Linked DNA regions of Arabidopsis thaliana. The protein of the gene in region 1 interacts with the protein of each later gene in a pairwise test. Each region holds a gene or a part of one and is shown in the gene's direction. Other genes may lie near its edges.

What was found. Proteins that work in one complex are often made in the same cells at the same time.
Region 2: the proteins of HVA22D (region 1) and AT1G63480 interact in a two-hybrid assay, tested with the Arabidopsis thaliana proteins (one large-scale study listed by BioGRID).
Region 3: the proteins of HVA22D (region 1) and AT1G22190 interact in a two-hybrid assay, tested with the Arabidopsis thaliana proteins (one large-scale study listed by BioGRID).

Annotation. Positions count from the first base shown.
Region 1 is NC_003075.7:12,823,260-12,831,066, forward strand, and holds HVA22D (HVA22 homologue D), read left to right. Parts: upstream 1-4,596; 5' UTR 4,597-4,800; coding exon 4,801-4,847; intron 4,848-4,967; coding exon 4,968-4,994; exon of another isoform or gene 4,995-5,122; coding exon 5,123-5,429; intron 5,430-5,581; coding exon of another isoform or gene 5,582-5,601; intron 5,602-5,696; coding exon 5,697-5,723; coding exon of another isoform or gene 5,724-5,760; 3' UTR 5,761-6,044; downstream 6,045-7,807. Other genes in the region: SAE1A (SUMO-activating enzyme 1A), read left to right, coding at 392-474, 999-1,050, 1,157-1,352, 1,430-1,509, 1,603-1,719, 1,892-1,942, 2,029-2,095, 2,219-2,322 and 2 more; AT4G24950 (uncharacterized protein), read left to right, coding at 3,023-3,496.
Region 2 is NC_003070.9:23,536,876-23,545,858, reverse strand, and holds AT1G63480 (AT hook motif DNA-binding family protein), read left to right. Parts: upstream 1-3,625; 5' UTR 3,626-4,173; coding exon 4,174-4,618; intron 4,619-5,025; coding exon 5,026-5,093; intron 5,094-5,178; coding exon 5,179-5,310; intron 5,311-5,392; coding exon 5,393-5,551; intron 5,552-5,705; coding exon 5,706-5,987; 3' UTR 5,988-6,302; downstream 6,303-8,983. Other genes in the region: AT1G63490 (transcription factor jumonji (jmjC) domain-containing protein), read left to right, coding at 1-31, 122-217, 303-493, 762-921; AT1G63470 (AT hook motif DNA-binding family protein), read left to right, coding at 6,996-7,491, 8,033-8,100, 8,181-8,312, 8,400-8,558, 8,747-8,983. UniProt on the Arabidopsis thaliana protein: Transcription factor that specifically binds AT-rich DNA sequences related to the nuclear matrix attachment regions (MARs).
Region 3 is NC_003070.9:7,832,155-7,840,092, forward strand, and holds AT1G22190 (Integrase-type DNA-binding superfamily protein), read left to right. Parts: upstream 1-3,626; 5' UTR 3,627-4,090; coding exon 4,091-4,876; 3' UTR 4,877-5,257; downstream 5,258-7,938. Other genes in the region: AT1G22200 (Endoplasmic reticulum vesicle transporter protein), read right to left, coding at 5,703-5,794, 5,894-5,960, 6,058-6,150, 6,239-6,292, 6,538-6,589, 6,679-6,746, 6,832-7,011, 7,197-7,289 and 3 more.

The DNA of each region.
Region 1 (7,807 bases):
ATGAATTATGATTATTGCCAAACATCGATTCAGTGGAGACTAGGTTTATGAATTATGACCGTAGAACATATGAAAACTGTGTAAAACTATTGTATAATTTATGTATTAAATTTTGTATTAATCAACTGATATGCGGTCGGACCGGATCCAACCGGCGATCGAAACATACCATTTATATTTTTTCTTTTTCTATTTTACTAGAAATAAAATAAATAGAAACCTCCGTTGCTTTTTTGGCAAACACTGTGAGAGAGTTGACCAAAATCGACCCAGTGGGAGGACTAGGTTTATCGAAAGCTCCAGTTTTCATAGATAAATCCAGTAAAATTATACACGCAAATTCTAGTTTCTTAGAGCAAAGCTTTGTTGAATTGATAGCTTGAATTTGGGAATGGACGGAGAAGAGCTTACCGAGCAGGAGACTGCCTTGTACGACCGCCAGATTAGGGTTTGGGGCGCTAATGCTCAGAGAAGGTTACTTTCTCATCCCCTTGTTCTTTTCAACACTCAATCTTGTTTTCACTTTTCTAAATTTAAGTGCTTTTAAGCTGCATCATCTCAATTATGATTTGAGTCGGCTTTGAGTACTAAACTCTTACTATTTGGCCATTTTAGGAGAATGCTTAATGGTCCCTTCTTAAATGCGGATTTAGATCATTAAAATTGTATTTTTTTTTGCTTCTCCTCCATTCGATTACTTTCTCTTGGCTTCAGTTTTGGTTTTTATTTGTTTGTCTTTGTCTTAAGAGAATTTTAGTTAATACCTATTATTGGTTTAGCGTTTGGATTCTGCTTCTAGACTAGTGCATTCCTAATTATGAGCTCCCTTAGGTTGTTCTGAGATGAGAGTTTTGTTTTTTAACTATTAAGATTGATGTATTCATTCATATTTTGCTTTTTGCTGAAGCTTATTTTATTGATACACTACACTACCATGTAATTACTCTGTAAGCTTGGCACGATTTGATATAGTGTGAGGTTGGTGTTTTGCCTTGCAGATTGACCAAAGCTCATATCTTGGTATCTGGAATTAAGGGGACTGTTGCTGAGGTAGCTGTAACTCTATAATTCATGCTGAGATGTCATGCTTTTCAATTAGTTTAATCTAATGGTATCTTACTGCATTTCCTGGCTTTGTTTCCATTTGGTGGGTTAGTTTTGCAAGAACATTGTGCTGGCAGGAGTTGGTTCAGTGACTTTAATGGATGATCGTTTAGCAAACATGGAGGCCTTGAACGCTAACTTTTTGATTCCGCCTGATGAAAATGTTTACAGTGGCAAAACTGTGGCTGAGATTTGTAGTGATTCACTCAAGGATTTCAACCCTATGGTCCGTGTTTCCGTAGAGAAAGGTTTCCCTCTAATACCTCTCCGTTAATGTTTTAAAAACATACCGACTATTATCTGATCAATTTTTCAAATCTTTCAGGTGATTTGTCAATGCTTGGCACTGATTTTTTTGAGCAGTTTGATGTCGTAGTTATAGGCTATGGTTCTCGTGCTACCAAAGTATTTATACCACCTTTTACATATTTACCACTTGCTTTCATCTTTAGTTGCTCCATACATCTCTTCATGACGTTGTCTGTTTATTTTTTGCAGAAATATGTCAATGAAAAATGTCGGAAGTTAAAGAAACGTGTCGCATTCTATACAGTCGATTGTAGAGACTCATGTGGTGAAATCTTTGTGGACCTCCAAGATTACAAGTACACAAAGGTACTTGCATGATTTGTTGTTGCATTTCTTCTGTTGATTATGTGCTGTTTTGACATTTCATCTGGCTTATTTTTAAATTTCTATAATTCCATTGAACATTTAAACTTCATTAACAACTTCTAATTTGCACAATGTCCTTTGTATTGTTTTCCTGATAATTTTCTTTCCACAGAAAAAGCTTGAAGAGATGGTGGAATGCGAACTAAATTTTCCAAGTTTTCAGGTACAATTTAACACTAGTTCTCGCTACTAATAATCCTTACATCTGCATAGGATTTTGTGATAAATTAGATTTGTTTATTGCCACAGGAAGCTATATCGGTACCATGGAAACCGATTCCTCGGAGAACAGCAAAGCTCTACTTTGCTATGAGAGGTAGTTACTAGTTACTACAGCTGATTTCTTTATTACTTTCCACAAATGAAAATTGAGATCCCAAGGCAGATACATACAACAAAAATTCTTCACTAATCTTTGGCATTCTCATGAAATTTTCAGTAATAGAAGTGTTTGAAGAGAGTGAAGGGCGTAAACATGGAGAATGTTCGCTACTCGATCTTGCCAGAGTCTTGGAAATCAAAAAGCAACTCTGTGAGGCAAACGTAAGTGTGTTTAGTTGTTTTATCATTATTTAGAAATGTCACTGCCAGGTTCACTGAATAACTGAATATTGTCTCTCAGTCTGTGAGCGAGAGCCATATACCAGATATTCTCTTGGAGAGACTTATCACTGGTACTACTGAATTCCCGCCAGTTTGTGCCATTGTGGGAGGAATATTAGCACAGGTTCTCTCTCTCTCACTTTCACTCTCTTATCGCATTCGAATCTTCTCACTAGAAACTTGTAATTTGACAAGAAAGATTTTTTGATGTGGCAGGAGGTGATCAAAGCAGTATCAGGCAAAGGAGACCCGTTGAAAAACTTCTTCTACTATGATGGTGAAGATGGGAAAGGTGTGATGGAAGACATTTCCGACTCTTTTACCTCTTAAACAACCAGTGGGCCTTGATTTAGTTTAAACTCTATAATCTCTGAGATTCCATGTATATCTCAATCGTTTGTTTTTTGCCTTCACATTATGAACAAATTTAATGCAGAATTTAGTGGAGGATCAGTTGTGATTTTCCTTCGGTAAAATCATTTTCAGTTATTGACATTTGAATTGTTCAATTTCAAATTTCAAATATTATAATTCAATTCAAAGACTAGCTAAGTTTTTAAAAGTAATTAGTGAGAGATCTCACAGTGATATAAACCACATTCATTTTAATTCATAGCAAAGTAAATGGTAAGAAATGAAAATGGAAGAAAGAGAGGAGAGTAGTTCACACGAACATCTGAAGGAGAAGTTGAGAGAGCTTGAGGAGGAATGGACAGCCATGAAAACAGGTAAAAACTCATCTGCGGTTTCATGGATTACCGTGGAAGATGCTCTTGAGTATGTCGAAAACTCTCCCAGAAACCTAATGCTCTCTCTCCAACACAAACCAAAGGCAGAGATGATACAAGAAATATCGCCATTAAGGAGAAAACTCTTTCACGACTCTGATGATGATGATCAAACTAAGAAGACGACATTGCTTTCTCATTCATCTTGTTGGTCTTCGAATGTGACGAGTTCGAGTGATACCACGAAAGCAAAGAAGAAGACAACGATTAGAAGATTTGTTTCTGTTACAATGGTGCTGCTTTTGTCATGGGTTTTAGTTGTGTTGATGAACCACTTTGATCATCTCTCCATGAATACACAAATCATTACTTTGGTTCCTACTTGATATTTTTATTTATTTTGGTTTGAGAATGTTCATCAATCTCAATAAATAAAAAAAGTTTAGTTTTGTATTATTACCTCTCGCCTTCTCTTTTAATTCATTGAACCTCTTCAACTTTGGCTGTAACTATGTTGGTTAAAACAGTATAAGTAATGTATGTATTTATGGTTTTAGGAAAATCTTACAAAATAATACTCTATCATTGGATGAAGAAGCAAAAACTACACCCCTCTACATCTTTTCTATTCATAAACTTTTTTGGGGAAAGAACTACATTGGTGGTGATTAGGTGCATCGGTGACACTAATGTTGAAAATATGTTTTGTGTAAAATTAGTATGGTTAAAGCTAATCATTTAGTTGAGCAAAAAAAGATGCTAATCATTTAAATAGAAAATGGACTCAAACAAAAGAAGGCCACACATTCAATTGTTACATCTTTATTGGGTTTTCATTTTTGGAAGCTATTTTTATGAATTTGCAGTGTTTTGTTGCCCAAAAGAAAAAAAGCATAATTCCAAGTATATCTTTCATTTTGAATCCATCAGTCATATGTTTTACTTGAATCAACTATTTGTTGGGTTTTACGAAGTTACTTGTTAAGAAGATTCAAAATATATATAATTAGACTATCAAAGGAACAAAAGAATGTAATTGGGTCATAACTTTTTCCGAAGCTTACGTGACTTGGGAGAAAATCAAACCCATTAGTTTCACCCTTAATCAAACTAATCACAAATTTTGAACTTTGCAAAGAAGGTAAAATAATAATCAGCAAAAAGATTAATAAAATGACAAAAGTATCTCTTTAAAAGATTAATAAAGAAATAAAGAAATGACATAAGCTCTCACCGACCGACGTCTTGTCTTTTTTATTCTTAAGGTCGGTGCCATGTCGACGCCTTCAAGCTTAGAATCTCGCCACGTGTGGGATAAACTAACCGAACCCAATCGAACCAGACAGACCAAAGACAGACCAGACCGGACTAGTTGTATGTCGGCATCAGCGTTCTAGTACGACGTTAATTAAAAAAATAAAAATAAAATATTATTTATGATATTCCACCAATAAGAGCCAATGAAAAGTGTGTGAACCAACCAACTTCTGTAGCAAACCGTACCATTTCTCTCTTAGATACCTTTACCTTCCTTCTATAAATTAGGTTCTTCCTTTCACATTTCTTTGTCTTCTTCTTCTACATAAAATTGATTCGCCTCGAAATTTACACAGACTTGTCGCTCTCTCTTTCTCTCTTATTTCACAGAGCCCCTAAACATTTCCAAAAATCTTGCAAAGGAAGAAAAACAATGGACAAATTTTGGACTTTCCTCACTGCTCTTCATTCAGGCGCTGGGTAATTATTCTTAATCTTAATTTTCCTTCCATTATGTTTCCAAAATTAGTTACTTTTTGATTTCCTCTGTTTCGATTTCTAATCCAAACCGTAATCGATTTGTTGGTAATGTATATGCAGGCCTATCGTGATGTTACTTTATCCATTGTAAGTTTCTCTCTTGTTAAACCCTTTAACAAAAGAAAAAGTTTCTTTCTGGTTCGATCTCTCTACTTTTTGTTGAAGATTAAAAACAAAAATCTGTGAATATTTACTAATTATGTTTTTGATTACAGGTACGCATCGGTGATAGCAATGGAGAGCACAACAAAAGTGGACGATGAACAGTGGCTTGCGTATTGGATAATATATTCGTTCCTCTCACTCACGGAACTGATTCTGCAATCGCTTATTGAGTGGATTCCGATTTGGTATACGGTGAAACTTGTGTTCGTGGCTTGGCTAGTTCTTCCTCAGTTTCAAGGCGCAGCTTTTATCTACAACCGTGTTGTTAGAGAACAGTTCAAGAAACACGGCGTCCTCCGCTCCACCCACTCCAAGCCCACCAAGCCCAACATCCTCCACTCCATTTTCCCCCACCGGGTAAATTTTTTATCTTTTTGGTTTTGAGATTCATAAAGCAAAAAAAAAAAGTAAAAGTAACCATTAGTTTTAGTATTCTTTGGTGGGTCAAAGAACGAATCTTTGTTTATAAAGATTAATAATGCATTGAATATAGTCCTAGGAAACGTAAGAGTGTGCCTAATTCTCTAACGTAGCGACCATGAGCGTATAACAAGTGTTTTGTATACTTTTGTTAATTCTTTAATTCGTTTTTAAATTAATTGTGAATTTTAAAATGTGATATAGGAGGGACACGAGGCTCACAGTCACTGAATCAGAAGGGTGGAGCAGACAGAAGAAGCCTGACTAGTATTATTGTAATGGTCTTGGTGGTGGTCCCATCATGTCCCTGTCTAATCTACTTTTTACTTTATTTTTATTTATCACAAAAAATGGGTTTAGGAATGTTGATGATGATGACTGATGAGGTGTGTAATCGTTTTTAAATTAGAAAATGGCTTCTTCTGCTTGTATGATTGTATCGCTAATCTTCCACGCGTATTTCTTTAATGTCAACGCTAATAATTTCCAATTGTGTCCCTTCTTGAACTTATCATACATATTTTGATGACGCAAATATCTCACCGAATCAAACCCATAACAGTATATCCCTTTTTTTGGGGCCTAAAACCAAAATTGAAGTGAGGCTTACAGAGTTAGAACGCAATTTAAACCAGTGACTAATGTTTTGATTGGTTCTCCCTCTGCCACCTGCAAACGCTGCGTTTGCGGGTGGTAGCGGTTGTTAGCGTTTGACACTAATCATAGAAACCGCTAGATACCGTTTTGGACCGCTTGAAATCGCCAGATTTCAAAAGCTTCTTCCCGTAAGCGTTTGCGGTTGCGGGCGGTAGCGGTTAGGTTAATTTTTTTTTTTAATTAATTAAAATAATTATATCTTCCATCCAAACCCTATATATTTTATTCTTATCAGAAAACCCTAATCAATATATTGAAACCCTATTTTCTCAATTATGGCATCTACCCAAACTAACGAAAATCAAAATCAAAATCAAAAATCAAACGTAAGTATGATCTATCCTTTCATCCATTCATTAGCTAGTGTAATTCTCTGAGTATTTCATGGCATCGTCATTTTTTTTATTTTGTATTTTTTTGAGTTTTTTTATTGAATATATGTTTTGATTTGTTTTCTCGATTAGAAAATTATTTGGTCAGACGAGATGACCCGTTTCTTGTTAGAACTTTATCATATGTATAGAGGCAATCCGGAAAATCCACGAGTTCAACGTTATTTACAGTTTATTACACTACTTGATGCAATTTTTGGTGATGTACCAAATGCATAAAGTACTAAGCTTTTTCTTACAAAATTTATTTATTTTTGAATTTAATGTTTTATTTATGGTTTTAATTATTAAGCATGTTTAATTTTCTAATATTATCAATTTATCATAATAATATATTGTATTTTTTCTTTTAAAATTAATATATTATATTTATTTTGGTTATTTTTTATTTAATTACTATCGCACTCGCTGATTTACCAGTCATAAAACTTCCGTAAACGCACCCATTATCAAACGCTCAACCAGTCGTTCAAAACGCTTGATAATGCTTGAAACCGCAACCGCCTGTTTCCGCAAACTCCCGCAACCGCAACCGCAATTGATTAATGATTTATGTTACACGGTTTTGAAGCAAGCATGAATTATATCACATGTATAATATTCTTACACATACTCTTAGATTGAAGTAAAGAACTAGTACCAATCAATTCCTCTAAGAGAAACCTAAGTTAGCTATACAATGGAACACACAAGGCCAACTTCAATTATGCATTTTAAGTTTTTAACCAAACCACACACGCAAAAAAACTTAAAGATCAGACTAACACAATTCACTGTTATTAGCTACACAACTTGAGAAGAAGAAACAGAGTGAACAAACAATGGACTAACGAATGAAGTATACAATTAAAACAAGAGATCTAACTCGAACAGAAGTTTCTTTACCATTTGTCAGCTTTTCCACAGCTAATGTTTATCCCAAAAGACAAGAAACTGAAAAACTTCAACAGACAATGAAAGAGAAGATTCGTTAGGGTTTTATTTTGTCTATGGGCCGTCTATTGTGTGATCCATAAGAATTAGTTGTGTAAAATCAATTATAATTGAGCTTACAATTTAAACGGTCCATCTTCTCAACTAACATAATAATTTAAAAAAAAAACTAGAAAAGCCTCTCAAGTCTTAAGTCAACTTTGTTCCTCCTTCTCTGAAGAGATATATAATACTCTTTTTTTCTTTCCCAATATTTTTCGATTTCTTCATCATTCATTCGCGCAAACATTCCAAAAGTTTTCTCTTTTCAACTAGTCAATAGTCAATACTTTA
Region 2 (8,983 bases), on another chromosome or scaffold:
TGGACTGGAGTGGGCAAAACGAGCTAGAAAGGTACATAACCAACACACGTTTTCTCAGTTGATCGCGTAAAGTCTCTATGGAATGTTTAATGAAAACGAGAGCTATTGGTTTTATCTGCAGGTGGTAACAGACTCAGGTGCTCTTGCCTTGGAAGATGTTTTCGAGCTTATTTCTGAGGGTGAAAACTTACCTGTTCATGCAGAGCAGGAACTTCAGGTTAATATGAAATGAATGTTAGCAAAGCTTAACACATAACCTTACTGTTATCTAAAACTGTTTGTATCATGGTAAATTGATGCAGTCTTTACGAGCTCGGAGTATGTTACACTGCATTTGTCTAAAGCCATACAACTCAAGATCCATGGTTTCTTGTAGTCAATGTGGCGAATGGTATCACACCTATTGTTTAAAGCTTCATTGGCGGCCTAAGGCTTATGTCTGCTCCGCTTGCTGTCCACTGGCAGAAACCACTCCACAGATCGATCCCGCCAGGTTTGTTCCTTTGCAATAAAAGCTTACTCTAAACCACATTGCTACACACTTGTATTCACATCGATCTTAGATTTTTAAAAGCATACTTTCTTGAAACCTCTATACTTTTGCTTCACTCATTAGTTTAGGTCACAATCAAAAGCTACTGATTGTGTGGTTTCTGTTAGGCTTAGTGGCTTGAACCGAGAATGTTTACAGATTCGTTAAGATACTCTACACTTCCTCCCATTTTTCTGAACCCATTTGTTTGATTGATATCTATTAACAGAGCAACAGAGCCAGAGAGACCGTCTCTGAACCAAAGACGGACAAGAATGGTCGCGACTGATGCAGCAGTTAATGACTTAAAGTGGAAAACCCGAAAACACATCAAACGGACAACTAAACGGAGTCCTCAGGTTCATATTCTTCCCTGGTTTTTCACTTAAAAACCAACATAATAATCTCTTGAGGGTATGATATATAGAGCAATTTCATTTATTCAATTTTAGATGAGTTTTCTCAAACCTTTTTGTAATGTTTCCCATTGGAAAATGGACAAGTTCACATTAAAAAGGTTTTGGACTTAATAATTTGCCAGATTTTTGGATCTTTTTTTTTTTTGAACTGGATCAGTGGATCTATAACTAGAATTTGATGATTATGTAATATAAGAAATTCTAATCACAACTATGTATAGAGGAGATATTAGCTTAGATCTTAGATTTAAAGCTTGTTTCATTCTTTGATGTTTTATTCAAGTTTAACACATTTACCATTGAAATTTGTATTCTTATTCAATTATAGATTTATAGTATGTATTTGTTGATATCTCTCACTTTTTAAACTCAACAAACTCTACCAAAATCAAACTACCAGCAGCTATTAGAATTTTGAACTATTGTTGGACCACCAATGTGTGAAGAGAATCATATCTCTTAATCCCCACAAATTCATGAGAAGGAAAATAAAAAAGCAACAGTTGAGATCACTTTCCTTACAAGAATCAGAAAGAGACCCACTTTTGATGACATCATGTTTCAGAGACCCACAATCATATCTCTCTATATATGTATGTATCATAATGTGTGTATATGTGTTGTGAAGTAATAAGTAAGGGACTTTCATAGAAACAGAGCCTTATTGTACCTTTTGAGACACCATCCTCAAGCTGAAAGCTTCCTTCAACACTCTTCTTCCATTTTTGAAAATCTATCTAGTACATTTATTGTGAATTTCACACTGTCCATATCTTGTTTATTTATTAAAGTTATTAATGTTACATGTAGATGAAATGGACTGATTTGTGTATGTTTATAGCTATTTATGTAAGAAGAACAAGTAAAATATTGTATAAGTTCAGTAATGGTCGGCCTCAAATTTTTCCTATCATGAAATTTCTAAGTAAAAAAAGACAAGTCACATTACTTTAGGTAAAAAGTTGGCAAAACAAAAAGTGAAAGAAGGAAAGTCAAAACTCTTTATTTTATTGTCAAAAGTCAAATGTGTGCAAATGTAATATTGTTGACATTAAACAAAACAAATTAATGTAAAGATTATTCATAATGGAGTAGCAAAACAAATCTAATTAAACCCAAAATATATAATATATGATATATCTCTAGAAAACTTTTATTTATATCTAGCACCAAATTTTGACTATTTGGATTTTTTGGTCGGGTACTTTAGCCACCGGATATTAAATGCATCATACAAACTTTCAAATTAGGTGGAAACAAAATATATGTACGTATATATATATATATATATATTAATAAATCACTTTCAAAACTTTTAAAAGAAAATAAAAAAAAAGAATTTTAGATAAAAAGTAAAAGAGAAAAAGGGGAATATAAAAATGGAAAACAAATAAAGTTAGGAGAGAGGGCTCACTGTCCGAAGCAAAGAAAGAAATAGCAAAGTGAGTTAGACATGTGAGAGAGAAGAGATTCAAGTGTGTCCCCATTCTCTTTCCTATCCTTTAGTCAACAACACATCTCTCTCATATTTGGATATTTCTAATCAAGATCAAACTTTTTACAACAAGATTTGATTTTTTTTGTTCTTTTAAAATCTTAATTTGAATTAAGATGATATGAAGTCATTTCATACTAGTCTTGCCTCTTGTCAAAGTGTAACTGAATGAAATTTCAAGATTATATATTTATAAGAAAACCTAAAATTTTTAGATATATTTTGAAATAATCTTATAATTATCTATACTAATTAAAAATAAATTATAAATATATTATAGAGCAGTTGACCAAAAAAAATTACAGATAACTATTGAAGATATATAGACATGATTAGTTGAGGTGTAGAAAGTTTGTAAAGCCACTAAAATAGCTCCAAAATTGAAATAATCATGTTGTAGTTTTTTCTTTTTTCTAGCAAGAATAATATATTTTTGATTATTTTAAAAGGTTTGTACATTTTTCTCTTTTTATTTTCACTTTATTTTTTTAGTTTCTTTAGAAACATTATTATACTTTTCATATATATATATTGAATTTATCTTCAAATTTTGCATACATATTTTACCCACTAAACATGATTCCATATAAAAACGGAAAAAGTGTGTCACAGAAGAAATAATATATTACATGATATAATAATCTAAAATGTCAACTGTTTTCTTTAGAATATGTTAGAAAAGATTTTTTTTTTAAATCTTTATTGGTAGCAATGTTTATGAGAATAAAGCACATAATTGTCTCTCAATGACTAATAAATTTCGGTTTCAGTCAAAGATCTAACGAGATATTAGATTTGTAATAATCATCAAAGAAAGTCTATCCTTTTTATTAAAAACAAATATTCTTAAACAAACTAATACTTTAAATAAACTATTCTTAAACAAACTAATACATTAAATATTCTTAAACAAACTAATACATTAAATATTCTTAAACAAATATTCTTAAACAAACTATGCTTAAATCTTTCATAATAATCTTTCTCTCAATTGAATTTATCTTTCACAAAATTAAATAACAAATCAATTAAAGAGATATATAAATACGAAAAACAATGGTCGTCACTCTCGTTCAGCTTCTTTAGTTTTCTTCTAACTTTCAGAGAAAGACCTCTCTCAATTCAAAAGTTCACAATATTAAAAGTATAAATCAGAATCATTAAACTGTTAGTCTCTCTCTCTCTCTCTCTCTCTCTCTCTCTCTCTCTCTCTCTCTCTCTCTCTCTCTCTCTCTCTCTCTCTTTTTCTCTTCTTCTCCCTGAATTGTCTCATCTGTCTTCTTCCTTTGTCTCTCCTCTGATATACATTGTGTTCTCCTTCTCAGAAACCCTAGATTTCTCTCAATCAAATCTAGCTTTTCTCTTAGGGGGAGATTTGATTTTTTTCTCTGCAAGACTGTAACAGTAGGAGAAGCTACTTTCCTCTGTTTTCTTAATTTCAAATCTGCAATCGTACTTTTTCGAGTTCTATAAGTGAACTCAGATTTTAGCTTTTTTTTTTTAGGGTTCATAAGAACAAATTGGATTTTGAGCTCACAGTATAAATAACCCGACTTTGATTACTGGGTAATTTTAAAACCGCCATTGTTGTTCTCTTTACTACTTTTGGGAATTAGGGTTTATGATTTCTGGGTATTAGATTAGATAAATTTGTTTCCTTTTTTTGTTAATCAATTTAAAAATCTCTTATTTCTGTTAAAGACTTGTAATTTTGGAGTTTTTAATGCATGGACGGAAGAGAAGCAATGGCATTTCCAGGCTCGCATTCTCAGTACTATCTTCAAAGAGGAGCCTTTACTAATCTCGCACCTTCCCAAGTCGCGAGTGGGCTTCACGCGCCGCCGCCACATACGGGATTGAGGCCAATGTCTAACCCTAACATTCATCACCCTCAGGCTAACAATCCAGGACCTCCTTTCTCGGATTTTGGACACACCATTCACATGGGAGTGGTCTCCTCTGCTTCTGATGCTGATGTGCAACCGCCACCGCCACCGCCACCACCAGAGGAACCGATGGTTAAGAGGAAACGTGGACGGCCAAGAAAGTATGGAGAACCGATGGTTAGTAATAAGTCTAGGGACTCTTCTCCAATGTCTGATCCTAATGAACCTAAACGGGCCAGAGGTCGACCTCCTGGAACTGGAAGGAAGCAACGCTTGGCTAATCTTGGTGAGATCTCGAGTTTTCTATTCTGTGTACTTTGTCAAGTTAAGTTTTTGCTTTAGCTCTGTTAGCTAGTCTTGAAGGACATGAGCTTGAATCTTATGGATGCTAGAAGCTTTGAATGATTCTATAGTTAAGTTAGGTTTTGTTACTTTGTCGTTACTGATACTCAATATTGATTGTTGGCTATTAGTTTGACGGATCTATGTGTGGTACAATGCTAGGTGAGAGGAGTAATTGGTTATTAGTAGATGTGGACGAAATCGACTTCTTGATTTAAGTTATTGATTTAGGTTTTTAAGCTGTGAAAGAGTAATCTTACTAATCCATTCATGTTTAAGTAATTGGTCATCATAATGTGATTAATCAAACTTTAAGTAATAGCAAACTCTTGACTCTGATAATTTCTTTAGGTGAGTGGATGAATACTTCAGCTGGACTTGCTTTTGCACCTCATGTGATCAGCATTGGAGCAGGAGAAGTAAACTGACCAAAACTCCTTTATATATTAATGATCATTTATGCAGCTTTTCATTGTATCAATTTCCTTTTATTTTTCTTTGCAGGACATTGCTGCGAAAGTTTTGTCATTTTCACAACAAAGACCTCGGGCTCTTTGTATAATGTCAGGCACTGGAACCATTTCTTCAGTCACTCTGTGCAAACCCGGTTCAACCGATCGTCACTTAACATACGAGGTTTCAAAGTCGTTCATTCAGTTAATCGAAAAAGAAAAACCTGAAAAGATTTCTTATTTAATCCTCTTTCTGTGTTTCTTAGGGACCTTTTGAGATTATAAGTTTTGGTGGATCTTATTTGGTGAATGAAGAAGGTGGATCCAGAAGTCGAACAGGCGGATTGAGTGTCTCTCTTTCTCGTCCCGATGGTAGTATTATTGCCGGTGGAGTTGACATGCTTATCGCAGCCAACCTTGTTCAGGTATATTAAATTCTTCTTCTTAATGGTTGTAAAGTGAAGCTAAAACGAGGCGAAACTAACTACGAATGTTAGCCTTTGATATGTTTGTGCTGTCACTTTCTTTCCTCTTCAAGATATCATGTGGTAGTGTTTGAAAAACTTGTTTGTTATTCAGGTGGTGGCATGTAGTTTTGTATACGGAGCAAGGGCAAAGACTCATAATAACAATAACAAGACCATCAGACAAGAAAAGGAACCAAATGAAGAGGACAACAATAGTGAAATGGAGACCACACCGGGTAGTGCAGCTGAACCAGCAGCATCTGCGGGTCAGCAGACGCCACAGAACTTCTCTTCTCAGGGAATAAGGGGGTGGCCCGGTTCAGGCTCAGGCTCTGGCAGATCACTTGACATTTGCAGAAACCCACTCACTGATTTTGATTTGACTCGTGGATGATATACACTATTAGTCTTTGAAGCAGCAGCATACAAAATGTGATTGCTGTACATATGTTATTGTAGATTTCTCTCTGGGAATGTTGAAATCAGACATTTAAGGATTGATACTAGATCTCTCAGCTCCTTCTAACATTGTTAATGTAACAGAACCCTCCCACTTTCATGCTATTTTAGGAGATTTTTTTAACTCTTTTATGATCTCATTGTGGTCATCAAGAACTTGGTTTCTTTACTAGTTCACTATTTTTCTTTCAGGTTCTTTAACATATTTAGTAAACTTGATTCCTCTTATTTGGTAGACAATGTGTAATTCAACACACACAAGATTTAGGATCCTTAATTTATAGGAAGATGACAAGCTCATAATTTATACATGAAAAGCATTAAATATTAATGAATATATATCCTCAAATTGACTTAAATTTCTTTTTCAGTCAGAAATCTAATGAGACATTAGATTTTGTTATAAACCATTGAAGAAAGTCTATATCCTTTTTAATAAAAAAAATTCTTAAACAACCCAATTTATTTTTTTTGTAAACCAATTGAATATTTTTTTTTGACAAAATTAATTAAAGAAATAGTATATAAATAGAAACAATGGTCTTCACTTCCTTTCTCTTCTTTTTTTTTCTTTCCTTTTTTTTTTCTGAGATTTGCTTTCTCTACCAGAGAGACTGTAACAGTAGTAGTAGCTACTTTTGCTTGTTGTCTTCATTTCAAATCTGCAATTTTACTTTCTTTTTGAGTTCTAAGTGAACTCAACATTTAGCTTCTTTTTCTTTTCTAGGTTTCATAAAAACAGTTTGGATCTTAAGCTCACAGCTGAAAATAACCCGACTTTGATTACTGGGTATATAAAAGCCGCCATTGTTGTTCTTTTCACTCTTTGGGTTATTAGGGTTTACGATTTCTGGGTGGTAGATAAATTTGTTCTTCAAAAAAGTTTCCTTTTTTAAAAAATCTCTTAGATTCTTAAAGAATTGTAATTTAGGGTTTTAAATGCATGGATGGGAGAGAAGCTATGGCATTTCCAGGCTCGCATTCTCAGTTCTATCTTCAGAGAGGAGTTTTTACCAATCTTACACCTTCCCAGGTCGCGAGTGGTCTTCACGCGCCGCCGCCACCTCCGGGAATGAGGCCAATGTCAAACCCTAACATTCACCACCCTCAGGCTAGCAATCCAGGACCTCCTTTCTCCATGGCTGAGCACAGGCATTCTGATTTCGGACACAGCATTCACATGGGGATGGCTTCTCCTGCTGCGGTGCAGCCTACTCTGCAGCTGCCGCCTCCACCGTCGGAGCAACCGATGGTTAAGAAGAAACGTGGAAGGCCAAGAAAGTATGTTCCTGATGGACAAGTTTCATTGGGGCTTTCTCCAATGCCTTGTGTTAGTAAAAAGTCTAAGGACTCTTCTTCAATGTCTGATCCTAATGCACCTAAAAGAGCCAGAGGTCGACCTCCCGGAACTGGAAGGAAGCAACGCTTGGCTAATCTTGGTGAGATCTCAAGTTTTTTCTGTGTACTTGATTAAGTTAAGTTGTTGTTTTAGCTCTGTTGGCTAACCCTTGAAGGATCTTATGATTAGATGAAAGTTTGAATGGTAGAAGCTATGTATGATTCTATGGTTATTTTAGGTTTTTGTTGCTTTAGCCTTACTGTTACTGTTACTCAACATTGATTGTTAGGTATTAAATTGACTGATCCATGTGTGGGTACAATGCCAGTTGAGATGAGTAATTGGTCATTAGAATGTGGTAGTCAACTCGATATTTGACTTCTTGATTTATGGACACAATTTGTAAGCTTTGGCACAACTTTCTTCTATGTACATTGTGAAGAACACGAGCTGGGGTCTTATGATTAGGTAGATTTTGGTTGCTAGAAGCTTAATGATTTTATGGTCAAATTAGTATTGATTTGGCTCTGTTGTTACTGCTACTCAACATCGGTTGTTAGGTATTAACTATGAGAGTAATTTGACTGATCCATTTGTGTTGAGATAAGTAAATGGTCATTTAACTCTGTTAATTACCTTAGGTGAGTGGATGAATACATCAGCTGGACTTGCTTTTGCACCTCATGTGATCAGTGTTGGATCAGGAGAAGTAATCTCTAAAAACTCCTATCAATCTTAATGAGTTATGCAGCTTTTCATTGTTTCAATTTCCTTTTATTTTTCTTGCAGGATATTGTTTCGAAAGTTTTGTCTTTTTCACAAAAAAGACCTCGGGCTCTTTGTATAATGTCAGGCACTGGAACGGTTTCTTCAGTCACTCTGCGTGAACCCGCTTCAACAACGCCTTCCTTAACATTTGAGGTTTCAAAATCGTTCATTCAGTTAATCCAAAAAAGAACCAAACCGTGGAGAACTAAAGATTCTTTATCCCTTCTTTGTGTTCTTTAGGGACGTTTTGAGATTCTAAGTTTAGGTGGATCTTATCTGGTGAATGAAGAAGGTGGATCCAAAAGTCGAACAGGCGGTTTGAGTGTCTCTCTTTCTGGTCCTGAAGGTCATGTTATCGGCGGTGGAATTGGAATGCTTATCGCAGCCAGCCTCGTTCAGGTATTTCAAAATTGGTTTGGCTCCATTAAGTTTTGTTTTGGTTGTAATTGTTTGGTATAACATTTGTGCTACCTGGAATACAAAAGTTCAAAATACGGTTCTGGTACGGTTTGAGAAATTTTGTTTGGATTTGTTTATATGTAATGTGACTCTTAAACTAAATTTTTTTGTTGGTTGTTATTTTGAAGGTGGTGGCTTGTAGTTTCGTGTACGGAGCAAGTGCAAAGTCTAATAATAACAATAACAAGACCATCAAACAAGAAATAAAACCTAAGCAAGAGCCGACCAATAGCGAAATGGAGACCACACCTGGTAGTGCACCAGAAGCTGCAGCATCGACGGGTCAGCATACGCCACAGAACTTCCCAGCTCAGGGAATGAGCGGATGGCCCGTTTCAGGCTCAGGCTCAGGCAGATCACTTGAC
Region 3 (7,938 bases), on another chromosome or scaffold:
AAGGAGTCCTATACTATGGAGTATGATTTATCGTTTCTGTTTATTGGTGTTTTTTTTGTAATACAACGTAAAAAGTCCATTAATGAGAACAAAATACATCCTTGAGAAGCTTTTTTTCTTACCATCTTGTACAAAAACATACGACATAATCACATAAGCTTTGTATAATAAATAGTCTGCAATGGCCATATGTCATGCAAAAATTAACGGAGACAATTCACCTAAAATCCACATGCAATTCCTCTTTCCCTCGTAGAACAACGTGCAACTGATCGAAAAACAACGACACCCTCCTTTCGATATCACCAAAGGAAAAATAAATTAGCAAATCTATTTTTCTCTACTTTCACTTCACCCAATACACGCATTTTCACATGCATTTGTATTTTACCAACTTGTTCTACTACTACTATATTTCTCATCTTATGCATTAATATAAATTAAAATTAGGTGAGTATATTTCTCATTTTACGTATTAGTGTTAATTAAATTAGGTGAGAAAATACAATTGTAAACTAGTAAGATCATTCAAAGTCAAGAGGTCAAAAAGACACGTGGAGTTTAATAAGCCTTTTAAGGTGAGCTAGTCAGATAAACAGTACAAAATGGACCTTTGAGGGTGAACACGTGGCAGATTCGCAACGGTTGTTTGACTTCGACAGATAAAACGGACGCGTTTGACGGAAACCGCGTTATGAGCATTAAATTGCAAAAGTTCATACCAAAAGCAAAAATCCAATCAGATCCACCTTCTTTTCTTTTCTTTTCTTTTCGACCAAATTAGTCACAAATCGGATCTACCTTTTTTCTTTACGATTTACAAATATTTCTCAAAAATCCTAAAAATGACATGTATGTACTATTATATTACTTGATTTAGATGCAGTGAATCTAGCTATCAAACAACTACTTTTATAGACAAGTTAAGGAACAACAATGCAAAAATGTCAGTCATTTCATTTGCCCCCAATAAAAAAAAAATGTCAGAGAACTTGAGAGTACACTAATAAAGTATTATTGTTTAAATAAACTAGATGAACACCCATGCTACGCATCGATTTTTGTTTTTAAAATTGTCGGAAAAATATGATTATGGTTTTTTGTTGATTTTGATGTTCATTTTGATTGTTTGACAAAAAAAAAAGATGTTCATTTTGATAAATTCATCCATTTAATATAATTATTATTTTTTATGATTAGATTCATCTATAACTCAAAATATCAATTCAACTACAATATGAATATTTATATATTTATTATTCTAATATTTCACTATCATGATCACATACTATAACAGTAAATGATATACTGATATAAGTAGTTATATTACTTATGTATTTTAAAACTTGTCTAACTTAATTGTAACAAACAATTCTTTATTCCATATATTATCTCGTTATCTAGTACACAATCACATCCTGATATGCTAGTAATTTAAGTCAACATTTTAATTCTTATCCCTACCATATAATCATATAAAGTCACATGTTGTTGTTTTTTTGGTATGTCTAATGTCTAGGATGACTATTACGTGAAAAAATTATATATCAATGTTACAAAATTATCTTAACACACAAAATGTACCGAAAGAAGTTCATATGATAAATCAAATTCACAAAATATAATAATAATAAAATATTTAACTAAAATTACTAAATTAATATGAGGTTAGGTAGCAAACATCTAAACTACAACACAAGTAAATTTTTAGCCATTATAGATTAATGATTATTGATTAAATGTTTTTAATAAAATAAGTAGAATAAAATGAAAGTAGTGCTTGGTACATTATTATGACTTTTTATTTATCGAATGTTTTTTAGAAAATTCATTTAAGAGTGAGATTAACACAACAAAAGACTTTTAATTTTTTCTCAATTAGTTTTGCTAGTTTTTTTATTTAATTAATATAGAATGACACATGTCATTTTTTTGTGTGATGATGTATCATTTATATGGAGAGTGTAGGCCAATTTTCATATATATATGATTTTGAATAAAAAGAAAAATTCAAAAGGAGAAAAATAGGCAGCAAAAAGCTGTCAGTTATTACATACAGCTAAGACTTGAGTAATGATTTTGTAGTTGACTATTTCATTTCCCCTGTGGACACGCTCGGCTTACGGTTATGAAATCATGCGTTGGAGTTTTTCTTGCTTTTCCCTTTTCTCATGCGTAGAGTTTTTTTTCTTTCTTTACAATTTGTTTAACCATAGTTTTATAGGTTTGTAGCTATATGAGTGGTTAATTTATGGTCTAGCTAATTGGTCTTTTTCTTATTCAGTTTTTGCATTAAATGTAGATATCAATACTGAAAGTTGACTTTTATCAAAAATACATAACAAAGTATAAGAAAAATAACGCTTAGACAAGTTATTACACATATGCAATGTTCACCAAAGCAAGCAAGTACGAAATATACATGCATATGATAATACATGTAAACGAGATAAATCAGCATCGTAAAGATGAACTGGTAACACGGACACGAGCCATCCACATGGGTGGTACCTCCTTATGCGCGTCTTCCCTCAAAATATTGATCATTATAAAATGATGACACCATAGTCTAACCTTGCAAATTGACGCCGTATTGATTGTAGTGACATTTGTACACGATTACACGAAGCAATAAATTAAGTGATGCAACTCTATAAGATATCGTAAGATGATGAAATGTTTAATAAACTAATTAAATGGATGATATAATACGGAATTGACATTTGAGGAGTTCTCAGCCATTCATTCTAACCCTCTAGACCCTTCTTTTTTAATCTTGTATGATTTATTATCTAAATAAAAGTCTAAACCACTCATTAACATGATATCATCATTACATTGCGAGCCAAAATTATTGCTTAACAATCATGAAGTCTACGTGTGTCACATTCGGAACCTCCGAATAATTATTTTTATACTTTTTCGGTTTGATATACTTCAATATATACTATTAATTTGGATAATCTCATTCTTAATATTCTCTCAGTTCCATTTTATTGAAAATTTTCAGAAGTTTTGTTTTCGCATATATACAAAAGAATTCTAAATCTACTAGCTGGACTAGTGGACCAATTGTTGGACGCCTCTACCAAATAAATCGTAAAAATATGTTGATTTCAATTTTATCAATTTGGCTGGAATCGAAGTGCTCGTGTACATTAGTTTCAACCGCTTAGAAAGACGTCTAGCTAAATGAGTAGACAACCATTTTTTTAACTAATCTTTTAAAATTTATGGAGTTGTGTACGTCCACTCACTTCTATTTGAATAGAAAAAAGATTAATATGGTTATGGAAGAAACGTCCCATAAAGCCGGTGTGAATGTAATATAATGAAATGATTCTCCATCAAACTATGATTGTAAAATTAAAACGCTTCGATTATAGAATAAACTTGTAGAAACATTTTAACTTGTAAAAATTAACCATTCTAAAACAAAACTTGTTAAAACTCAACTTACAAACAATGTTTGATTGAAATTGAATATATATTATTTGGAGTACGTAAACATGGATGATCTTATCTGAAATAGTACATAAAATAACAAAAGAAAAAATTAATTAAACATATAAATTTGAGAAATATGAGGAGGATGGAAAAAAGAAGTCACGCCACGCCTCCTATATAAACAAGAGCCAAGCTAATGAGATAAGTGTATCGGTGAGGCTGAGAGTTATTCACTTACAAAAAAAAAAAAAAACTTGAGTGTAACCAAAAAAAAAAGTTGATATACTTTCTGGTTTTCTCCTTAACTTTTATTCTTTACAAATCCATCCCCCTTAGATCTGTTTATTTCCCGCTACTTTGATTCATTTCTGTTAGTAATCTGTCTTTCGTATAGAAGAAAACTGATTTCTTGGTTTGTATTTTCTTAAAGAGATCAATCTTTTTTTATTTTTGATCTTCTTGTGTTTTTTTTTCTTTGTAGAATTAATCGTTTGTGAGGGTATTTTTTTAATTCCCTCCTCTCAGAAATCTACACAGAGGTTTTTTATTTTATAAACCTCTTTTTCGATTTTCTTGAAAACAAAAAATCCTGTTCTTTACTTTTTTTACAAGAACAAGGGAAAAAAATTTCTTTTTATTAGAAATGACAACTTCTATGGATTTTTACAGTAACAAAACGTTTCAACAATCTGATCCATTCGGTGGTGAATTAATGGAAGCGCTTTTACCTTTTATCAAAAGCCCTTCCAACGATTCATCCGCGTTTGCGTTCTCTCTACCCGCTCCAATTTCATACGGGTCGGATCTCCACTCATTTTCTCACCATCTTAGTCCTAAACCGGTCTCAATGAAACAAACCGGTACTTCCGCGGCTAAACCGACGAAGCTATACAGAGGAGTGAGACAACGTCACTGGGGAAAATGGGTGGCTGAGATTCGTTTACCGAGGAATCGAACTCGACTTTGGCTCGGAACATTCGACACGGCGGAGGAAGCTGCTTTAGCTTATGACAAGGCGGCGTATAAGCTCCGAGGAGATTTTGCGCGGCTTAATTTCCCTGATCTCCGTCATAACGACGAGTATCAACCTCTTCAATCATCAGTCGACGCTAAGCTTGAAGCTATTTGTCAAAACTTAGCTGAGACGACGCAGAAACAGGTGAGATCAACGAAGAAGTCTTCTTCTCGGAAACGTTCATCAACCGTCGCAGTGAAACTACCGGAGGAGGACTACTCTAGCGCCGGATCTTCGCCGCTGTTAACGGAGAGTTATGGATCTGGTGGATCTTCTTCGCCGTTGTCGGAGCTGACGTTTGGTGATACGGAGGAGGAGATTCAGCCGCCGTGGAACGAGAACGCGTTGGAGAAGTATCCGTCGTACGAGATCGATTGGGATTCGATTCTTCAGTGTTCGAGTCTTGTAAATTAGATGTTGCCATAGGGGTATTTTAGGGACTTTAGAGCTCTCTGCGATGGAGTTTTTGGTCATTGCAGAGATTTTATTATTATTAAGGGGGTTTGTTATGTTAATATCAAATAAGTTTATCTACTTTGATGTTAATTAGTGTTAATCTCTGCGTCGGTCCAAGCTGTTTTTTTTTGGCATGCTTCGACCGTGTGAGATTTCTTATGTAATTTTTGTAGTTCCTTGATTTTCTTAGTTCAAGTTAAATTGGCACAAAAGAACAACGATCAAAGTAGAAGAAACTAAATTCCTTAACTATAAAAACTTGATTGGTATGAAACTGCAAAAACTCCTTCTAAATCTACAAAACATGTAACTCACTTCTCGTAATAACTAAATTCTGGAAGTGTTGCTTAGACTGTAAATGAGGAAGCATCCTGAATCAACTTTAGTGTATTTCAATCCATGGCTTTAAGCTAATCTAAGAAACCACTTTCTCTGATTATCAACAAACGTAGACACTTAAAAAAACAAGGCTTTAGTTTAATAACATAAAGCAAGATCGGTATCTTCAGATTTAGACTACACTTTAAACAAATGAGCTCAAATTAAATAGGAAAAATTAACATTCGTTTCAATCGGTGATAACAACATTTTACACTTTGTATGTTGCCTATGAAGAGATAGTGAATAGTGAAAGGCAAAGTTCAGATCCTGGAATATCTTACAGTACTACAAAATTCTTTAAATCATCGCATTGTCACAAATTCAAACCTAATGTCTAACTGTAAAACCCGTAGAGATGATTCTCCAGTAGCTGATCAAGAAAGTGTGGAGAATATCAAACAACTCAGTTGAATTTACCAATCTCCATTTTCTTCTTAATTGCTCGTTGTCCATGGTATATGAACGAATCTACTATTCCCGATACCGTGAAGATACCTGCAAATCAAAGGTATAATTTTAGTTTTGAATTTGATGATAAACATATCAGTAGGGTATGTTTAAATTGAATGGAGAAGGGATATATATATTGATTACCTCCTACTATAGCGCAAACATTTGTTAGGAAGTGCAAGAACTCCACATGTTGCTCCTCAAATATCACCTAGCCAACAATCAAAAGTTAAAATGTTTCTAGAGATATAGTCTCCGTTGGTATTAAGAACACGACTTGGAAAAAGAAAAAGAAAAAACGAACAGACCTTAATTGGCGATAGATCATAGTAGAAGAAAACACCAGGCGGAGATTGCATGCGACCTGCTTCCATGTTCTGGAAATGTTCTGTCACAGAGAACTGTTAAAAACAAAAACTCATAGGTTAGATTTTACAAGAAGAAAATGACAAAGATTTTTATATAGAGATTTGGGGATGTGGGATTTACCTGGTTTGACTGTATTGTATTCTGGTGAACATCGGTGTATATGCTTGGTACCACCTGAAATTCAACACCACAATCCATTCTTTATCCCTACGCTCAACAATCTTTCTAGCATGCAAAAGCTACCGATAAAGAAATTCTTATTGCATTGGTCAACAAGCATAATGTATTAATGTCTTTGTACTTCTCTATCAGTAACCTGAGCTAATAATGAGCCTTTTAGGAATCTCAAAATTTTGTACCTAAACTATTGTCCCAGGTGAGAGCATTGTCTATAGATATAATGTACAAATGAAGCAAACCTTGATGAAGTATTGATAGACGCCACTCTGTTTCCCCTGATTCCACTGCACACTGAGAGAACCAAGAGAATGTTTCAGAAGATAGGATTATTGAAAAAGCGATAACAGGTGCGAGTAATGGCTATATAATTGAGTTTTTACCCATCAAGAGGGTTCACTACACCGGGGAAAAAGTCTCCAAAGGCCAACCTGTTGACCTTGTGGCTAATCTGTGTAATGATATAATAGAGTCAAGACCCATTTGAAATATGAGCTTATAAAGAGAGAATGAAACAAAAATAAAACTTTTCTTACATTGTAGTTGCCTTGCTGGAACAATAACATATCATGAAATTGAAAACCGGATTGATGAAAGCTTTGCCCAGGAATGAAATGAAAGTTCCCAGCAACTTTGTTAACTTCCAAGAAACCGTGAACATTACAACCTTCACCTTCTTCATCTTTTACCTTTTGCACAAAGCCTTCTCTTTTACACTGAAATGAAATGATGAGTAAGAATATCATACAACTAGATGTGGGGATAGCTGAAACGAAAGACCAGATACCCATGGTTTCTTTAGATATATCCATTTTAGTGCCAAACAAGGTGTCACTATTTGTTTCAAACTAAGTACCAAGATCAACCCAATTTTGTTGTTAGTGAAGGAACGTCAGTATACCTGGTCGATTGATTCAGGGTCCGAGAGGGCCCAACCTTTCTTTCGGTAAGCTTCGCGAACTTCCTCACATGAATTACAACAAGCATCATCTGACTGTAACATGTAAGCAATGACAACCACAACATGTAACAAGGATAAAAAACATTTCACCACCATAGAAGAAACTAAAATGTAAATTAACTGAATCAACACTAAAGAACTCAGTTGAATATTCTCTACTGCAACTTAAAGTCCAATATCGCTTGTCAGAGCATATTCTTAGAATAATTTAGGGAAGCTTACCGCTTCTGCTCCAAAACAGGAACCACAGTATGTTTCATTGTGTTCCAACCTTCCACCATGTTTTTGTAAAGGTTTTTCAATCTATGGATAAACAATAACATTAGGTAATTAGAGACATAACGAAGCAAACAAGACAGAACTTCAACACTTTCAATCTCTTAAAACTTCTTGCAATGAGATCAGAGATGACACATGAAAATGAAAAATTTCAAAACCATAGAAAAACCAACCTTAGTATGACCAATTCCGTCTTGTTTTGCCTCGATGACATTGCCAGAAGAGTCTAATCTCCTTTTAATAATGTCATGTCGCTGCACCATACAAACGAACAGAATCCAAAATCAGACAAAGTAAACACACACATAATCTCAATTTGAAAAGAAAAAAACAAACGTAATGGAACAAAACAATTCACCAGGACATACCACATCAAGGTGCCTCTCCCCACTGATATCCATGG